4 linked regions of the Drosophila melanogaster genome follow. The protein of the gene in region 4 purifies or fractionates together with the protein of the main gene of each other region. This does not show direct contact. Each region holds a gene or a part of one and is shown on either strand. Other genes may lie near its edges.

The links.
Region 1: the proteins of Acp65Aa (region 4) and Vajk2 purify together in Drosophila melanogaster (affinity purification with mass spectrometry, with the first as the bait; one large-scale study listed by BioGRID). This does not show direct contact.
Region 2: the proteins of Acp65Aa (region 4) and mol purify together in Drosophila melanogaster (affinity purification with mass spectrometry, with the first as the bait; one large-scale study listed by BioGRID). This does not show direct contact.
Region 3: the proteins of Acp65Aa (region 4) and Vajk3 purify together in Drosophila melanogaster (affinity purification with mass spectrometry, with the first as the bait; one large-scale study listed by BioGRID). This does not show direct contact.

The regions. Positions count from the first base shown.
Region 1 is NT_033779.5:13,932,059-13,936,465, forward strand, and holds Vajk2 (Vajk2), read right to left. Parts: upstream 2,635-4,407; 5' UTR 2,552-2,634; coding exon 2,540-2,551; intron 1,739-2,539; coding exon 938-1,738; 3' UTR 501-937; downstream 1-500.
Region 2 is NT_033779.5:14,993,759-15,000,080, reverse strand, and holds the start of mol (moladietz), read left to right. Parts: upstream 1-2,521; 5' UTR 2,522-2,565; exon of another isoform or gene 2,566-3,367; intron 3,368-6,045; 5' UTR 6,046-6,182; intron 6,183-6,322.
Region 3 is NT_033779.5:13,944,256-13,949,000, forward strand, and holds Vajk3 (Vajk3), read right to left. Parts: upstream 3,222-4,745; 5' UTR 3,143-3,221; intron 2,873-3,142; 5' UTR 2,846-2,872; coding exon 2,834-2,845; intron 1,796-2,833; coding exon 974-1,795; 3' UTR 501-973; downstream 1-500.
Region 4 is NT_037436.4:6,150,829-6,155,351, forward strand, and holds Acp65Aa (adult cuticle protein 65Aa), read right to left. Parts: upstream 1,918-4,523; 5' UTR 1,852-1,917; coding exon 1,840-1,851; intron 1,759-1,839; coding exon 1,453-1,758; 3' UTR 1,222-1,452; downstream 1-1,221. Other genes in the region: Lcp65Aa, read left to right, coding at 505-813.

The sequences.
Region 1 (4,407 bases), on a different chromosome or scaffold from region 4:
GGCCTACTCACTAAATTTACAGTTTTAAAAACATTGTTTGCGAACAATTACTTGACGCACTGTAATGCAATTCAGAATAATTCCCAAAATTTATAATAAATAAATAAATCATTGCATAGTTGTGGGAATATCCTTTGACTAAAATAAGCTGTATTAATCCACTTAAGAGTAACTCCACACCCCCTCATAAAAATTAATAAATATCCATAAATATATAATATATATATATATTATATATAAATATATAATATGTAAATATATAATATGTAGTCCTTTATGGCTACGTTTTAACTTGACAGATATATAACTTCTGTAAAAAAATGTATTTATTCCAAAATAGCAATGCAGCAATACAAATTAAGCTTTCAGCTTAAACAAAAGGCTCATTAAGTGAAAATACCCTATATACCTTAAAAATATCCTATCGAACTTCTATCTTTTTTTTTTTTAATGGAAAGCCCAGTATTTCTGAAAGTACAAGTCTTAAGTTTTTTTTTTTTAATTTTCGTTTTATTTACATTATTTAAATATGTACAAATATTTCATAGAAAAGAAATTTACGTGAAAAAGTCGAAGGAGCAACTCGTCAGCAGTTATTTCTCTGTGATTGTCTACAAAAGAACTGTACACTCGATGGATTTGGATGCCAGGAGACAGGCACTTTTCAAACGCCCCGGATGGGTTTTGGCAAGCTTTCTATAATGGATTGCGTCAGTTGTGTGATTTTCTCCTGGTTCCGATCCTTCCAGAATTTCGGTTGGTATCACAAACTAAAACTAAATTTGTAAGTCGTACGTTGGCGGTTGCTGGGCGTGGAAAGAGAGGGAGGGGTGCTTGATTCTTAATGTCTGTTGGATACTTTCGACTTGTTGGTTGGTTCGCTCGCCTTCACCCGACTTCACTTCTCGCTTGGCCCTCGACAGCATTGCGATTTCATCTACTTTTTGTGGAGGTAGCCACCGTGGGCGGAGCCGCCGTAGGAGGAGCTGCCGTAGGAGGAGATTCCGTGTCCGGAAATTCCGTATCCGGAGATTCCGTGTCCGGAGTAGCCGTGGCTGATGATGGCAGGAGCAGCGGCAACGGTGTGGGTGACGGCCACGGCGGGCTTGACGTGGCTCTCAACGTGGACAGGCACGGGCACGGCCACCTTGTAGGGCACTGGACGCTCCACATGGACGGGCACCTTGTGGATCACACGCTTCTCGACGGTGTATGGCACGGGCTTCTCCACGGGCACGGGGTATGGCTTGTCGACATGGACGGTGTAGGGACGATCAACTGGGATCTTCACGGGCACACGGATCACCTTCTCGACGGGGTAGGGCTGGGGCACCTCGACGGGCACCTTCACGATCTGCTTGACGGGCACATGGACGATCTTCTCCACGGGGTAGGGCTGGGGCACGGGCACCTTAACGGGATAGGTGACGGTCTTCTCGACGGGGTAGGGAACGTGACGCTCCACCTGGTAGGGCACCTGCACGGTCCTCACCACGGTGTTGGTGTGCACCTGGGTGGGCAGCTCAGCGACAGCGGGAGCCACTGGAACTCCAACACCGATGCCGGATCCCAGAATGGCGCCTCCCGCCGATGGTCCGTATCCGTAGCCCAGACCGTGGCCAATGCCGCGCTTCTCCTGCTTCTTCTCGGCGGGCTCGGCGGTCTCGACGGCCTTCTTGGGTGCCTCCTCACTGGCGTTGGCCACCAGCACGCACATCGCCACAAGGCCGAAAATGAGCTGCAATGACAAGTGGGTTAAATTCGATAGAAACCCAATTGGCTTGGTCGGGCGGTTATGCAACTGCAGCCGCTTCCGGCTCCACCTCCGCCCGATTACTCCATAATTTGGAATATGACAATTATGCAATGTTGGGTGGAAAGTTGGCTGGGCAACCAGCCAAGTTCAATTGTGGCCTAGGCCCCCTGACATATTGGGCATGCGGCGTATACTTAATGTGGCTTGATATTTTCGCAATAATTCGGTTAAAATACAAATTGGAAGAAGGCAAATTCAACTCTTTGTAGTTTCGCGTTCAAAGCTTTTTAATACGAATCTACATTTTTGTTTTCTTTTTTAAATGCTAAAAACATATTCTAGGACTGCCTATCCTTTTCGGGTTAAAATGATCCTTAACACTTTTCGATTTTAGTAATTATGAAATGTGATTTCTTTCAATAAGATTTAAATGTAGAACTGGTAATGGAAAAATTAAATATTTCAATTAGTTTTCTCTCTAAAAATCCTTTCTTAAAACCATGTTCATATTTACTTGGGTAAACCAAAATGCCACAAAAAAGTAACATATCTAGAGACATTTTAGAATATCCGTTCTATCCTTGCTTTTGAAAGAGCTGATGAAGTCGTGCAAAAACCTTTTTAAAAATACTTTAATTGCAACACCGATATGTCTACATTGTTCCATAAATATATATATATATATTCTTTTGCAAGTCACTTTAACTGAATCCGAGTTTTTGAAACACAATTATTCTAAGCAGCACTTCGAAGGAGAACACACTGAGCTCAGACCGAACATACCATGGATTTCATTTTGCACTAGGTTAGCTCCTCAACACTTTGCGATCAAGATGGGCTTGTATGTCTCAACCAACCCGCAACAGTTAACTGAATAATTTCGCACAGACGCAGCGAGCTTTTATATGGCCGATGCTGTGGCGGGATTGTCTTCAGCCGCGGCTGCGCAGTCGACGTGAATCGAGATCGCAGCAGCCGTGTTGAAAAAGCTCGCTCTCCATCCGTTCGACAGCTCCTCTCTCTCTTGGCCAACTGTCCGTGTGAGCCCGTGGCCCAAAGGAAATGCGTCAGCAAGCGAGCTTTTTCGAAAGAGGGTGCCTCACACGGACAGTGTCCATGTTGTCCGTGTGATCTGCGCCTGTATGAGTGCGTATCTGTGAACACTCGAGCTCCAACTGTAGCGATCTTTGGGAACTACTGAAAGTATTCAGACACCAAGTAACTGGGGGCACAGTTTAGTAGAAAGAATCGTTTCTTGCCAATAGCCAACATAACAAACATAGCAAATGGGTAATTTCGTTTAATTTTGCCTTAATCTACCAAAGAGATCCAATCAATTCTTTTGGAGAATCGCTCTTAATTGTACAGTTCAAACAATATAGACTTTTTTAATCATATACGTATGAATTTTAATCAACGACTTTAGAGTTTTAGAGTCTCAGAGTTTGTTTCTAGAATATTCGAAAAGTGATAAATTTTGTATTGTTAAAATTTTAGTAAACAGCTTTAAAAGTCCTTAGAAAGTTTATGTAATTTTAGATCGGAGCCCTTCCTCCGACGTCTTTTTGCGCAGTTAGTATTGTTATATGTAGCCATTATTATATTATCATTTTCCCTTTGTACAAATATATCTTATTAATATATTTTTTGTAAAAATCTCACATAAATACATGAAGTGTTAGTGTTTGTTTCCCAGGTAAAATTACATTAATGAACACGACAAATAAAATAAACTACTTGTATTTCTTACCATTTTACATAAATCTTTGGAAATCAACACATTCGAAAAGAACATTAATTATAAACATAATAATTATTCAATTAAAAATTAAATATTAACAAAGTTAAAAATGAACATAAAGAGTTTAAAATTTATGGACCATAAATAAATGAGTAATTTTTGGCTGGTAACGAAACCTTCATAATTATTAAAAAATATATACATTAAAAAAGAGATCACAAATACTTTTCTAATGCATAATTTTGACTAGTCCTTAGTGTTGGGAAATTTTTGCCCCAAAGCCTTGAGCCATTAATAAATAACTGACCGCGAGCACTTCAGTCACATAATCAAATTAGACACAACGGGCAAAGTGTTCCACAGCCATAAGTTAAATTCACATTAGCCACACATTTCCGAAAATTTCAGGTTACAAATCCAGTTGCAGTTGCAGTTGCATATTGAATGTAAATTGCTTGGCTGCAGAAGAAACATGCGCCGCATAGTCTGCTTGATTCTGTGTGGCTTCGTGACTGAACTTTTGATCTCGGATTTGTGTTTGGCTCCGTATTCTTGTTTGCTTCGGTTTTTTTTTCTCAGCTTTTTGGCCAGGCTGAGCGGCGTTTTAAGCCTTGATATGGGTGCATTGATTGAATGCTGTGGCAGTGTGGGTAATTTGACATTTTAATGCTGCAGAGGAAATACTCGCCAATGGCCATGTAAATGGAACGTGTGAACAATGAGTGGACCGCAAAACGCGCACAAAGGAGAACAGATACGGGCACCAAATCATGTTGGTTTTATGTGCATTAATTTAATTGTGGACATAACGCCGCGGACATAATGGCAACCGAGCGTATTAGGCTTTGTAATGTGCAGTTGAAGGCGAAGGTCGCCAGACATCATCGCCATGATCAACACCACGATCATC
Region 2 (6,322 bases), on a different chromosome or scaffold from region 4:
TAATTATACTACAATTACCATTCCATCGACAGACAACAATCTCCCATCGCAGCACATTTAATGCACTATCATCGCACTGAACGGCAAAATCGAGAAGACCTTGAACTTGAGACGATTGCAAAGTAACTCCGAGAGCATCAGCACTCGCTTTATTTCCATTATAATTTTCCATTACACTGCCCTTTCCCTTTTTTTTTCGTGGTATAAACCTGGGGATATTTTGTATCTGCTTTTTTTTTTCTTCTTTTTGCCGCTGACAGCTGGCAGTTGAGTTATGAATGCTTTTAGTGGAGGTTCGCCGAAACTGAGTCAGTCGAGCAGTTCCAAAATCGGCAATAACAGAAACAATGTCCAACCGAAAGTGACCGCCGCGTGGTTTGCATTCCTGATATGGGACACGTACGGTGTCCGTCGTTTTTTTTTGTGGTCTACTTCGTCGGCGATTCTGTGGCCCCAGGGACCAACGACCGTCCTCGGTCTGGGCGCGCCAAATCCGTAGGCATCGCGACACATCCGGATTTTGTGTCTGTTTTTTATATTTTCATTTAAGTCTTAAACGGTAGCCGCATTATGCGTAGCTCAGAAGTTATCTCCTCTTGTCGAGTGATTAATTTTAATTTTTTTTTTTCGCTTTTATTGCTGAATAATTTTTATTTACTGCTTGCAATCGATAAATTTTTGTTGTTCGAAAAAGGGCATTTCATGTTGGCCATTCCCGTGCGGCCTGCAGTCGTTGACCGCTTTGAACTGACCTTGCCGCGCGAATTTTCGTTAATTTCAACTTTGTGGTCACCGCTTTGCTGCACTGGTCCGGGATGCTGTTGTTTATGTTTTTCAGACTTTTCTGGTTTTTATCGCCCATCAAGGTGATAGGTTTGCATATAAATGACGCTAGAACAAAAGACTTTGGCGACGAACTCGTGGTGACTAAACATGTGTACGAATTCACTGTGAGAGCAGTCAAAAGAATTGGTTTGCCCCAAGATATTTATTTTAATGGGAATGAATCATTGGACTGCGTAGCGGAAGTTTATTCGTAGCTAGGGAATCGATTATGATGAAGTCCGTTTGCCAATAAGCAAAAAAAAAAAACTAAACACCAGTTTTAAAAACCTTTTTCGAAGCATTTTTAACATAAAGTAAATATTTCAGTAGTTTAGATACTTCCTTTATAAATTGCATGCTGTAAAAATAGTTATACGACTTTAGAAGTTTTTCAGCCAGCTTTAAGCACCACATTTTTTTCCAAACACAGAATAATACTTTTTTAAATCCAAAGACTAAGTACATCGGCTAAACTCTAGAGAGCCTTACGTATAATGAATTACTGATTTTACAGCAATATTTACATTTTTGTTTATGTATGTTTTTATGGCTAATTTTGCACATCATAAAAGATTCACTACTAAGGCAAAGACAACAAGATCTAGCATACTGCGGCTGAAAAGTGGCTTTGGCGTCGACCAGCCAAATTTGCAACTGTCGAGATTCACAAGTCGGATGGATTGACTGGACATAAACAGAGATCACGGAGGCTAACTTGGTGATTTGGCTTGGCGTTGGTGCGTGGCACGGTAGTCGCTAGTAAAAATTCAATTAGCAAATTAAATATTAATTACCAGACGGGTCTCTATGCTAATTGAATTAGCAATAGTAGCAGCTGGCAAATAACTAAATAAAGGAAAAAGTATTGGGGGTTTTTAAGTTGGAATGCTGCGAAGATGGAGTTTTTGAGGATTCGTTTTAATATTATCCAATATTTGGCACCTATTTTTTCTGACATAATTGTTTAAATTAAAGAATGTTGTATGAAAAGTGGAAATTGCAATTTAAAATTTGAAATTTTGATATTATAACGATTGCATTTTTGATTATACAATGCAATTACGTTTCATTAAGTTTTATTTTGGTTTAATAATAAATGTCTCATTTTAACATACTACCTTATAAATAAATCTTTTGTTTTTATGTCCAGTAATGCATTATACATTAATATTTTAAGTGGGCCTTAATTTATATCAACCAAATTAAAATGTCAGATGATAAAATTACGTTTGAGAGTTTTATTTTGTTTCCTTTTTTGTAACAATGCAAGTTCTAATATTTTCGGAGCACAGCTGTTTATACTAATATTATTTCTCCTCGTGACAGGTGCCAATGCTATTCTCGCCCGGCTGATTAAAGTATATAATTTGCCGCTCGGCTGTGAATTTAGTGTGAGGCCAGGCCCAAGATGAACCAGTTTGCGGTTGGAAAGTGTGGCAGCCTAGAGTCGGACAAGGTCCCTGATCAGGAATAGCCCTGGCGATATAGCCCAAGTTCCCTGTCGGATTTTTTGATATTTTTTATTTTAATAATTTTTTTTTTGATTTTCTGACTTTCCGACATGACTGCTTCATAAATTCACACTCACTTAAGCCTGCAATTAGCGGTCGAGCAAAAAGCTCCCATCGCTTTGGAGCTTTGGCGCTCTGTTGCTCTCTTTTGGGAAGGTTTTGTCTTTTGCTCACCGCTCTCGGCGTTCAGTTGATCGACGGCAAGCTCTCGAAACGGACGCAGATTTTTGTAAGTCGCCGCCGCGCCTGCGCATTTTAAATCAGTTGCAACAAAAAAACAACGAGAGGCAGCGAAGACGAAATCGAATTGTGTTTTTATTTGTTTGCTTTTGTTTTGTCTGTGTGTTATGCCATGCACAAAACCACCGTGTTCGTAAAAGTGGAGAAAAATCAAAAATCGAAAATTCAAGCCGAAATAAGTTTGCCAAAACAAAAAGAAACCGCAAAAGCCGCGTTATAATAACGCAAATAACGGTATTAAGTTTGAAGCTCATCTAGTTATTTATGCTTTGCTCCTCGTGGTTGTCTGCAAAAATAAAACAAAAAAGCTTAAAACAAACAACAGTGTCGAAAAACCTTAACAATTTGCGCGCACATAAAATATAATTAAAGCCAGCAAATTTTTGCCTTAAACATAAAAAAGTTAATCAACTTGGTTGCAATTAAATGTTGCAATTTATTTTTTTGCAACTAAAGTGCGAAATATTCAGTGCAATACAATAACAAAAATAAATAAGTTTCTCTGAAGCAATACAAATAAAAGTTTCTCTGTAGAAATATAAATAAAAAAATACCAAAATCCATATTATCAAAAATTCAATAAGATATGTAAATAAATAGTTTGGTATACTCAAGCAAAAATAGAATGCTGAACAATGGATAATAAATTATTTATTTTTTTGGGTAACAAACTGATTGCCGAGACTTAAAAGACACCGAGAACTAAAAATAAAATATGATAGATCAAACAAAAAAATTCCCAAACATCTAAAGAGGGAGTCCGCCATTCCTCAAACGTATGTGTGATGGGTGTATGTGTGGGTGGGAGCGGGAAAATTGTGTTGGTAATTTCTAATGCACATTTTCCCTTTAGTATTACCCAACACAATGTTTTATTACCCTTACAGGAGTAACAGGAGTAACTAAACCTTTGATATTTCGATATTTATTAAAACATGAAAAAGAAAATTGATTATAACAACTTCCAGCAATTTTAAACCTTTTTTTTGTATTTTCCGCGAAAGCGTACATAAAGAGCGTATTTTTTTTAATACCCCTTCCTTTTACTGTATTTTCCTGCCTGCCCTTTTAGTTGTCGTTGAATTTGTATGACGTGTGTGCATCAGGTTGATTTTTGTGATGCGTTTTGCCTATGTAATTTCCATGTCAGGCGTTGGGATTACTTCATCTCCCGTTTCATTTCCTATATGGCCAGATGATTCAAACCAAACTGACCAGCGCAAAAATGAAAACAAAAACTACTGCTACAAAAAAACTAAAAAAAAAAGTTGCACGAAAAAGCCGGTTGAAGGCAACTCTTACATATTTACACGCACCAGCGCTCATTGAACACACGCCGCCAGCAGCAACAACAAAGCTAGCACGGGAAAAAATTGTTTTAAACAGTTACTAATATTTTTATTAATATATTAGTAAGGATTATATTGATAAATAACAGTACTACAAAAAGTAATATCAAGATATTCATAATATTCATATATGACATAAATCATACAATTCCGAGTAATTATTTTCTCTCACTGCATTACAGCAACAGCAACAAAAGCAATATCAACAGGGCGACACAGAAACCTGTTGTTGTAGCTCTTGGTGCCTCTCTTGCTGTCTCTGTCTCGTCAAAAGACATTTGCAGAGTTTCCAGCTGCGTGTTGATTATGTCAATTTCATGTTTACTTCATTTCCTCAATCCACCGGCAAAGGTGTTAGAGAGAGGGGTATAGTGGGCGGAAAGGGGTGCGCCAGCAATTTCACTTTCGTTGGACTTGAAAATAAAAGCTGCAGTCTCTGTGGCAGTGTGAGCGAGTGCGAGAGAGAGAGAGAGAGAGAGATTATTGGAGCAAGATGGAAGGAGGTTGGAGCTTGGGAAAGAGAGCAAGTGAGAGTGAGAGTGCGCACAGCAAGTGTGCTGCATACGGTACTTGGATGCTGGTGCTGCTGATGCCTCACTTGCTTTGTGGGGCGTTGCTGCACCGTGGGTTATTGCTATTTAATGTTCTTGAGCATAAAATTGTGGATCGTGACTTTGGGCTCAGCAAATAATTCGTTTCACTAATCCGTATTGTTTCATATATAATATATTTTAAAAACCAGGTGACTAGTCACAATAACTAACTAACTGACTAGTTACAATAAAAGTTTTACCCAATTTTTTCAGATATTATGATGAAATCTTAAAAGAAGTGATACCAATTAGAATGGCTAAGCTCTGAGATATTTGAAGATTATTATTATTATTTTTGTTTATGAATTGTTATACTCTCAGTTTTCATATTTGCTTGAAAAGTTAGTTTGTTGATGTTTTAAGAACAATTATATGAATTTTGCAATGTTCATACGTCAATATAAGGATTATTATGTTACCATCCTTTTAATAACTGTACCACTGTGCGCCGGCGTCTTTTGTGTGCTACTCGTCGCATATTTTCCGTTTCGTTTTGTAACTGTAATGTCTGTTTTTCCCATTGTCCGATTGTTGCTGGTTGTCGCTTTTGTTTTGCGCTTATAACGTAATAACGTAATGTGCTCGAAGATTTCCACATGCGATGCGTCGCACCTTACGTTTTGGTGCCAAGTCCATCGCCGACGTCGACGTTCATTGTTTTTGCAGGCAATTGAGCCAATAAACTGACGCGAATCGTAGCGACTTACAAATTCCTGTCCGAAAAATATGCGAAGGTCAACCAGAGGGGCAGCACCAACAACCACAACGATATCGAATCCATAACAAAATAGTTGAGAACTCCCGCAAGTGGAGTTTCATACGAGTATGTTTGGTATTCGCACCTTCAAACATGATTTCACGGACTGTCAGCTTGGCAAAAATTCTAATTATAAATGAAACAATTTATTACCGGGTTTTTAAAATAAAATGCAATTTATGTGCAAAGTCTGGCGGCGGCGGCGGACTTGACTAGTTAAACCGGTTGACTGCCAGCAGCAGCAGCAGCAATGAAAAAAAATGGAAAAAGAACCATTGACTCAATGGGGGTGCAGTCAGCAACAGCAAATTGCAACTGCAAGGAAAACATTTTTCTTAAATATACGGAATTAATTAATAGAAGTTAAACAAAGGATAATTTCTTTAATAAATTCTAAACATTTATTTATTACGGCAGTGGTGAATTCGACAAAAAAAATTATAATTTAACCAAATGTATTTATTTGAAATCTATAAATTACATCTATATAATAAAACAAAAGCTTCGTTATATAACTCAGCAATAAATCTACTAAGTGCAATGTATAAAAAATCCTAATGAACATGTAGTTCAAAAATAACTCTAATAAATTTATCTCGAATAAATCAAACCGTTTAAAATCAAATAATTGAATACATGTTCACAGCTGTGAAAACAAGAATATTTTCGGCAAAATATTTCAACAAGCATAACCGATGTGTGTGTAAAATTTGTGCCTGTCTATATTATTTAATTCATTAATCATAAATGCAAATTTCTTGATTGTTTAGATACGTCTTAACGGCTAACTCGAAGCTATAAATTGGACATCAAAATTGGATTATACAAAAATAAAAAAAAATAACAAAGTGAACACGAAAAGTTAATAACAATTATTTTGTATGCCGGTTTCTTCTTGACAAGTTTGGTAAGTGAACTTTAAGACTTGATGAATGAGACTGAATGATAAAATAAATGTTAGATGACTTGTTGCCGCAATAAACGCCGGCTAATGAAGAAATAATGGTTTGCAAACAAATTTAAAAATAGGAACAATAGAATCATTGC
Region 3 (4,745 bases), on a different chromosome or scaffold from region 4:
TCATGTCATCTCAGCTGACTGACTGGTGAGAGGATTTTCGGGTTTAAGGATCAGGAAGGCGTCAAGACATCTGTTTTTATTGTGACTGAGTATTATTGATTTATTACAACTTAAGCTGTACTTAATTACAGGTATGCATAATTCGCATCTCTTGGCTTGAAATAATTACTGGTATCCTACTTGTTACCTTGCAAGATTAAAGGGTCTTCGTATAACTTTTTATTAAAGTGATCGGAACATAAAGTTTTTGAACCATTCCGTCTATTTAATAAATATTATTAGAGAGCTGTAAATATTCCAGAAAATGATCCTCAAAAAGTCTAGTAAAAATACATTTTTTAAATATTATTTATGTTGAGTAGCCACCAAATCAAAAACGACAGCTGTTTAATAACAACATACTCTTTATTTACAAAATATATTTACAAGATATACAATTACAAAGAACCCTATGACAAACTATTTCCAGCAGCTAACCAGTGATAAAGACAGTGAAATTTATTTTATACATTTTATTTTATTTGTCCTTAATAGATTTTCACATAGATATTTCTGTTCTTATTATCCATTCAATTCATTGTGCGCCGAAACCTTTCACTGATAAACTTGGCCAGCTAAACTGTTCATAAATGGCGAAATTTACAAACAGTTAGCTGGTATTTATCCTAAACCTGGAGTTCTTGGCCCAGCACAATGGCTTCCATTGGATGGCTGGATTGGAAATAATTTACAAAAGGCATTGCTTGTTTCATCTTGGGGGTTCTTATCAGCTACAGAGAGTGTGGCAGGGCGGAAGTTTGACTTCCAGGGGGTATTTTAAGAGTTTGCTTCTGCGCTCGGTTTTGGAAAGGAAGGCCGACAGGTGGAGAGAGTGGGGAAGATAATTGAAAATGTTGCTAGATATCCTTCGGCTCATTTCCATTAAGTCCGCTCGCTCCAATAGATTCGCCTGCTTCCGGTCCATTCCGTCCGCTTACTTGTGGTAACCATGGTGGTCGGAGTAGACGGTGGCATCGTGGCCAATGGCGCTAACAGGGTAGCTGCTGACGGCAACGGTGGGTGCGTGCTTGACCACGGAGTGGGACACCACGGGCACCTTCACGTAGACGGGGTAGGGACGATCCACATGCACGGGCACCTGGACATTGACGGCCTTCTCCACGTAGACAGGGTAGGGCTTGGCCACTGGCACGGGGTAGGGCCTGGGCACCTCAACGGGCACTGGGCGATCGACGGGCACATGGACGGGCACCTTCTCGTGACGGATCACTTCGTAGGGCTGGGGCACTGGCACGGGCACCTTGACGTACTCCTTAACGGTCACGGGCACCTTGCGGATGACTTCGTAGGGCTGGGGCACGGGCACCTTAACTTCGACGGGCACGCGCTTCTCATGGACGACGGGATAGGGGCGGTCCACATGCACGGGCACTGGGATTCCCTTGGTGATGGTGATGGTCTTGTGCACATCGGCCTGCTTGCTGATCACATAGGGGGCGGGAGCGTGGTGGACAGCGACGGCGGGAGCAGTGTGTCCAACGGCGATCGCGGGACCACTGTGGCCCACGGCGACGGCAGCGGGTGCGGAGTATCCGGTCAGTCCGTAGCCATGTCCGTAGCTTCCGTGGCCGGAGATGGAACCATGTCCCAGGTAGCCGGTGTCCAGACCAGCATGACCGTAGCCGTAGCCCAGATCGAGCAGGCCGCGCTTGTCCAGCTTCTTCTCCAGCGGCACCTTCTCACCCTCGGTTTTGCTGGCGCAGGCGGAGGCCACCAGCAGAGCGGCTAAGCAGATCTGCAAAGAATTGAGTTGGTGCGATTGGTTATGAAACTATGCATTTTAGAGACTTTTAAATAATAATAATATATTAATTTTCTAGCAAAATTCTAGATATTTGTGATTTCTTAATAGTTTATTTCACAATAACTAAGTTAGTAAGTAGAACTTGATTCCTTGCAAATATAGTTTAAATCTATTTCAAAATGAAATGAAATAAAATTTAGTCATACTATCTTCGAATTCTCAACTGTGCAAACTCATCTATCATGAAATTCGTATAGTCTATTCTTTAAGTATTTGAAGCTTCTCTATGATAAAACAATTCAAGATATGCAACCTACATAAATTGCCTAACGAAAACGTTGACTTTTATCACCCATTGCCTAGTTTGATCGATTACCTAATCGCAATAGAAAGCGAAGGCGATAGGCGATATGTGGCCCGATTCGCATTGTGTCGTCCGTTGTCTCATCGCCCTCTTTCGCGATTCAAATGGTCAAGTGAAATTTGTGCGTGCCTGGCATAAATGATGCAGTGCAGTCATCGCCCACTGCCACGCCCAGTTTCCGCAATACGCCTCAACCGACTGGCGTCACGTTACGCATACGCAGTGGGCAACTCAGCGAATGCATTTGGAGCTGGCTTTAATTGAGCACATGAACCCAGTTGATTACGGCCTGGTAATAAACGTGGCTGGCACTCCAATTATGATCGTTCAGTTAATAAACGCTTATTAGCCATGTCGTTCAAGTTGAATTTGGTCGTTTGCGAGCATTTCACCTTTGATTAAGGAAATTTATCGGATTGAATTGTTTCAGGAAGTTGTTTGTTGTTGAAGATGGCCAGGTAAACAATGTGAGGCATTTGCAATGCAAAAGGCTATATTGTTCCAATTAGTTCATGTCAGCATTGTTCTGTATGCAATTCTTTGAATTATTACTTGATTTCTCACACTAAAATATGCTACCAACAGCGATAGTTCACATACTCGTACCCATTTACATATCAAACTAAATTCTATATGTCTAATTACTATATGTCTGTTGTACTTACGAATACTTTCATTGTGGAGTCTAATGGGACTTGCCAAGGCTGTAAGTAAACAAAGAAAACAATAAGATTATTTATACGAAATGCAGCATAGATATTTTTTTTTTTATAAGATCAGCACTTTAATTGGTATTAACAATCTGTTCTTTGGGAAAATGTTCCTTGGAAAATTGAAGTTATTTAGAGCACACGGCTCGCACAGTTATTAGTTTATAACTTTTAGATCACAGCTTAAACTTTATTTCCGTTTCACATAGACTACACGCATTTTAGAAACAAACAAAAATTAACTTGGCATTTGGCTTCACTTACAAGCAACTCAGTAACAGCGAAATAGACTGTGGAAGGATTGTAGAATCACTAGCGATTCCAAACCTTTGACTGGATGCTGTCTGTGGTCAGTGGCGCGCTTTTATACCCCCAAAGAGTTTTTGTGTCAAAACGAAACTGAAAACACCGCCAAACCAAGTCGCTCAGCGGTTTCCAAAAGCTTTTCCCACCACAAACCAGCCTAATTGCTCTCTTCAAAGCTCTGAGTTCGGCTTGGTTTGCGCTTGTATTGGTTATATTTGTGTGTATTAGTGCGGCACGGAAAGTTGCAAGCGGAAGCGCTCACCAATACACTGGCATGCCACCAATACTCACGCAATTGCGGCTTTTCTCTGTGTGTATTGGTGACTTTAGCCGCCAACTTGAAAGTGGCTTATAAAATATGGGTGCAAATGTGATCAAATCAATTTGGGAACATAAAAAGCAAATAAAATAAATTAACTAAATCTTGAATTGAAATTTATATTGGGAAAATCCCGCAGAACGTACTAGCAATCCTTTCTTGTTTTTTTTTTGTTTTATTTGGATAAAAAGTCTTCGGGCTTCTTAGCAAGTTGTTCCCAAAAATATAGATTTCAACGAAAGGTCATATGTCTATCAAAGTCGTTATGTTTTGTTTGTCAAGTTTCAGAAGTCAGCAGTTTTGGTCGAACCTGATTCCTAATATCAATAATTCTGAGTCTACCTAATGGAAATTCAACTAGATTTTGTTTTGATTCCATTAATTAAAAAAAAAAAAAAACTTGCTTATTAGTATCATATTTATACGTTCGGCTCGCATTTTAAACAAAGGGTCTATAAATCTGGAATTGTTCAAAGGGGTAATCTGGTTTTAATCTTGTATAATTTCAATATAAAATTTATTTCGAAACATTTTGTGGCCCAATAAACAAAAGTGTAACAAAGCAATTTCTTTCATTTGAGTTTAATAAATCTCAAATTCACTTAGCAGATCTAATATCGTAGAACTTGATTTAACGGTAACTTGATTTATAACTTAATTAATGTTTCTTATAATTTTGTATGCATTTGGCGAACCGAATGTTTTCCGGATTTTAGTATTTAATTTTTAACCGGATTCAGATCTTTTAAAAATGGCAATTAATTACATTAAACTTTGATTTTGTAATTGATATTGTAGTAAGCAACATTTATCAAAGTTCACTGTACTTGTAACCAGTTACTTGCTTTATATCAGTATACATTGTTGCAAGATAGTAATTTGAGTGTGATGTCTCAATTTCTATTGCTGTCATAATTAGGCTTTCTGGTTTTCTTGCCACCTTTGGGGTACTCGGGTTACCATTTTGCACTTCCTGCAACAACCAGGTAAAAACGGAAGCTGCCTCTCTGGAATTTCTCGGCATCTTTGATGTCATTGACAATGGTTTAGTGATCACCGGGCGGAAAAAATAGATACTATCTGCGATTGGGGGTGGTGAAAAGTGATGCAACAGATGCGGTGCATAACCGTGGGCTGCGAATCTCAAGTTTCGCACTCGAAATCGATTATCGGAACGCTGGGTGTGGGATTGTGGAGTGGAATACCAACGGGGATTGCAAATGGATCTGTGACTGGAACAGT
Region 4 (4,523 bases):
CGTTGAAGACTCAATGATTACTATACTGTTTAGGGCGTATTCTCAGTTTATTTATAGTTCAACTCTTTGGGCAAAAGCACGCGCTACAGCAATCAAAACTAGTTTCGGCTAAGCTAAGCTTAAAACTTGAAATCTATAGTTTGAGCTAATAAATATGTGGATCGAAATTTAAACGAAAAGTTTAGAAGCCTGGTTTATATGCAAAATTTAATTTTAATATATTGTAATTGTCTGAAAGGCGTTTGGAGAAAATCTTTAGAGTTTAATTGTTTTACAACTTTATTCCGCTTATTAAAAAATCTTGAATTTTCTTTTTGAGTATTAGATTTTTAATAAATAAATTGAACAGAAGTTCAATTAACACCTGCTGTCCTCAGATCGCGTCGGCTATATAATGTTAACGACTTGTCCCAAAGTGCTAATTGCATAAGCTGTCTTAGCAATCGTATAAAAGACTCCTGCAATCTGGCATTTTGAATATTGAGTAATTTTTGACTATTCAAGATGAAATCCATCCTTGTGCTCGCCTGCCTTTTAAGTGCCCTGTGCCTAGCTGCTGCCGCTCCGGATGCAGAGATTGTTGACCTGGTGTCCGATGTCAATGCCGATAGCTATAGCTACAAATTTGAGACAAGCGATGGCACCAAGCAGGAGCAGCACGGCTCCCTGAAGAGCCTTGGTCCCGAGGAGGATGCCTTGCAGGTGGCCGGATCCTTCAGCTTCGTAGGAGACGACGGACAGACGCATGCCATCAGCTACGTGGCCGATGAGAACGGATTCCAACCCCAGGGCGAGGATATTCCCCACCTATAAATCGGTGTATGATGGTAATTAAAAAGGTCTTCTAGTTGAAAACTAGAAATCAATTGGAAAAACAAGTCATTAAATCGAAATAGGCTCAGAAACCATAATACTGAATAACCTTTTATCGTAGCTCAGTTTAAATAAAGAATAAAACCAATTGTTATGTTCCTTAAAAATATTTTTAAGATTAGTACCTTCGTAAATTTTTTAGATGGAACATCTTGTATATTGATCATTTTGAATCAAAAGAAATAAAAGTGTGAATTTTCATAGCTAAATACGATAAAATAGAAAATAACTCTGGTACTTCGTTATAATTATAAAGGAAAGTTATCTAGTGCAGTTTCATATTTTGAATGACCCTTCCCAGAACTGGTGACTTACTTTATGGGTTCCACAAAGAAAACATATTTTTTTCGAGAATCGAAAGTTCGGCTTTAATGCGAGTAACAAGGAAAATAGAAAACAATGCACGACACTGACTTGACTGACTGATCGACTTACTAACTGACTGACCGATTGGCTGCCACGGGACAAGGGACAGCTCCTCCGGACAGGACCTTAGCACCTCACTGTATGGCTGGTTGGTTGGAATTGTGGGTTCATTCGGGAAGGTGGTATTTACAGGATCTCCTCGAAAGCGGAGGTCTACTTGGGCAGATGGGCACCCTCCGGCTGAAAACCGTTCTCGTCGGCCACAAAGTTAATGGTGTAGGTTTGGCCATCGGGAGCCACCCAGGTGACGGATCCCCGAATGGATATGGATTCGTTGTCGGTGCCCGCGTTGTTGACCACGCCCTCCTCTGTTCGACTGGTGCCATCGCTCAGTTTGTAGCTGAACTTGTAGCCGCCGAGGCCGGTGTTCTCCGATTCGTACTCAAGAACTTCCACATCATTTTGCGGCCGGGCACTGGCCAGGGCCAGGAGAAGGGCTATCGAGCCAACGACTAGCATCTGCAAGGCGGTAAGAGATTAGGTATCCTTTTGCGTATCCTGGTTGGGCATGGTGCGCCTCGTTTATCCAAGTTCACCTACCAATTTCATCATGTTGAGCGGTTCTCGAAATTGCAGATTCTCCTATGCGGCTGGACAAACTGGCAGTTGTCTAATGGTGGCGTTGCATCGGCGTCCACTGCATTTTATACTGCACTCGCGGCTGCATTTGCAAACGTCATAAATTTGCACAATTGTGGAAGAAGCCAAGCAGCTCGCTAGTTCAGCAGCTCTGGCGGTCGCCGGCTAAATGTTTTCCACTATTTCCATTTTGTTTTTGTTTTTTTTGTGCTGTTTTTCAATTGCCAGCGTTGCACCAAAGTCGCCAAAGTCGCTGCGACAAGTAACATTTAAAGCGGCTTTGTGCAGCGGTGTACTCATCCGAAAGGTATTATTGCTCTTCACCCACACTCGAAAAAGCATTCTAAGTTTCAGGGCGATTCTGTGAGAATAGTTATCCACAATCAATATGTCTTCATATTTTTAACAAGAAACCAAACATAAAAATAAGCATGTTAAAACTAATGTAGTTAGAACATAAAAAATATTTATTTAAACCTATAACACTTAATCATTCGAATATCTTTCGTTTTACACCCACACTAAAACCACCTTTCGAAGTTTTAGTGCAACTCATTAAGTACTTAAATCTTAATTGAAATAAACAAAACAATTACTTGAATATAATACCACATTTAAGATGTACTGACATTTTCTGTCAGTGCCGACTGGTAGCTTTAGAAAACTCGAAAAAGTTCATGAATCAAGCAGATGCATTGGGGAAAAGGTTGCGGTTTGATTGGGCAGCTACGGGGAAATACCGGGCCAAGAACTATGGGAAACAATAACCAGAACAGCTCGTCAGATGGGCCCAGATCGAACCGAAATCGACGACATATTGGTGGCCCAAAAGAGACTAAGTTCAAGTGCTGTCGCCGCCAATTGGCAGGGCAGCAAGTTCAAGCCGCGGACACGAAGAACACGAGCTGAGCCATGTGTGATGGCCAAAGTGCACGATGGATGAGGCTGTGGATGGAGATGGAACCGCAGGTTGACTTTTGGCATATGCAACGGCCTTTACAGCGCTCGATTGATGTGCCTGCCCGGTAACAAGAGCCAAAAGCAGTTGGAAATATATATAAAAAATACATCGAATAACCTACAACTACGGCTCGCATGCAATTTAAATCTCTGACTCTTGCTTTTTGTTGTACTTTTAGCATTTTTTTTTTAATTTAGTTTTTAAGTCGCCGTCGCCGGTGCTTGCCAATTTATGCCACCTTCGTTGACCGCTAGCAGGCCGATGAAGAAGCCCCAGCAGCGGATCTTTCAAGCCGGTCAGTCGGGTTTTAACTTTGGTTATCGGTCGGCCTCTGGTCAACCACGGTTCTGCCCCAGCCTCCTCCTCCACTTGAATTGAATTGTGCCAATTGTGACTTAATGTCTGACCCATCGACAGGGTGTTGTGCACTGATACTGGCATTTCCTCAAATGTCGTTGAAAATCACATCATTTTGGTTGATTTTTTGGCAGCTGCAATTTGGCATTTTGCCATTCTTAACTTGCTCGTTAAAAATCATGGAATTGGTGACATCCGAGGAATGTTATCAATCAAATAATATTGTCCATATAACATGTAAAGAACGCATCAAATAAGCAAAGCGTCTTTGCAATCAAAAGCAAAAGCAGACTCAACAAATTTCTGTTGTCATTGTTTATTCAGCAAAATTGCATTACATTAATACAGTGTGAAAATTACTTATTGTTAGTCAAATGTGTAACTATAATTTTCTGATTAGACCGCAAATGGAAAAGTTGTTAATATGTTAATTGAACGAGAAAGACAAGTATATTAAAGAAGAGAAAAAACGATGGGTTTTTGCATGATTGAAATCTTTACAAATAAAATGTCACATGAAACATCAAACTTAAGCGCTTAAGTTTAATACTAAGCAAGTTCATATACAATGTGGTTTCCATGAAATTTCAGCCTGATTTATTTACCCAGTCCGCCTACAAATTGAACTTGAGGGCATTCGGGGCCCTTGAAAATGGATCTGATTCGTGGCTGCATAATATTTATTATTTGGGTCTTTTCCGCAGCTTTTCGAGGGCATCTGCATCGAGCTGCATTTATCATGCTGGCTTTGCATAATTAATCTGGCTGTGATCGATGGCTTCGAGTGCTAATCGGAATGATTGCCTCTGTGCGCGGGGGCGTTGTCTATCTTTGGTTAAAATTCGACAAACTTGGGGCTGTGTTCTTTATTATAGACCGTGATTTACATAACTGTTCTGATCAAATGGCAATCGACAGGTTTTTCAGCTTTGATCTTGTTCGTACTGTCGCTTTCAATACACAAATACCAGATGCCTCATGCCCGATGCCAGACAGAAAGAGCCGGAGATACAATAGATATTTATGTAGATGCGTCTTCACATTTACGTCTTCAAGGTCAGCGCCAAATGCTGCTGCTGCTGTCCGTCTGTCTATCCGTCCGTCCATCCGTCTGAGCAACCATCTGTCCGCCGCCCAGTCAGCTGCCGTTTTGGCCCGGCTTTCGTTCGTTGCCAACTCGCACGCACCTCACTCAAAAGTTGGCCAGACCGGCTTGAACCCGGTCTTTGGGACTCGGCTATGTAGGAATCGAGCTCGGTTTCGGTTTCGTTTTTTTTTTTTAATTGTTTTTTTTTCTTTGTTGCTCGTTTTTGGCTGCCGCATCAAC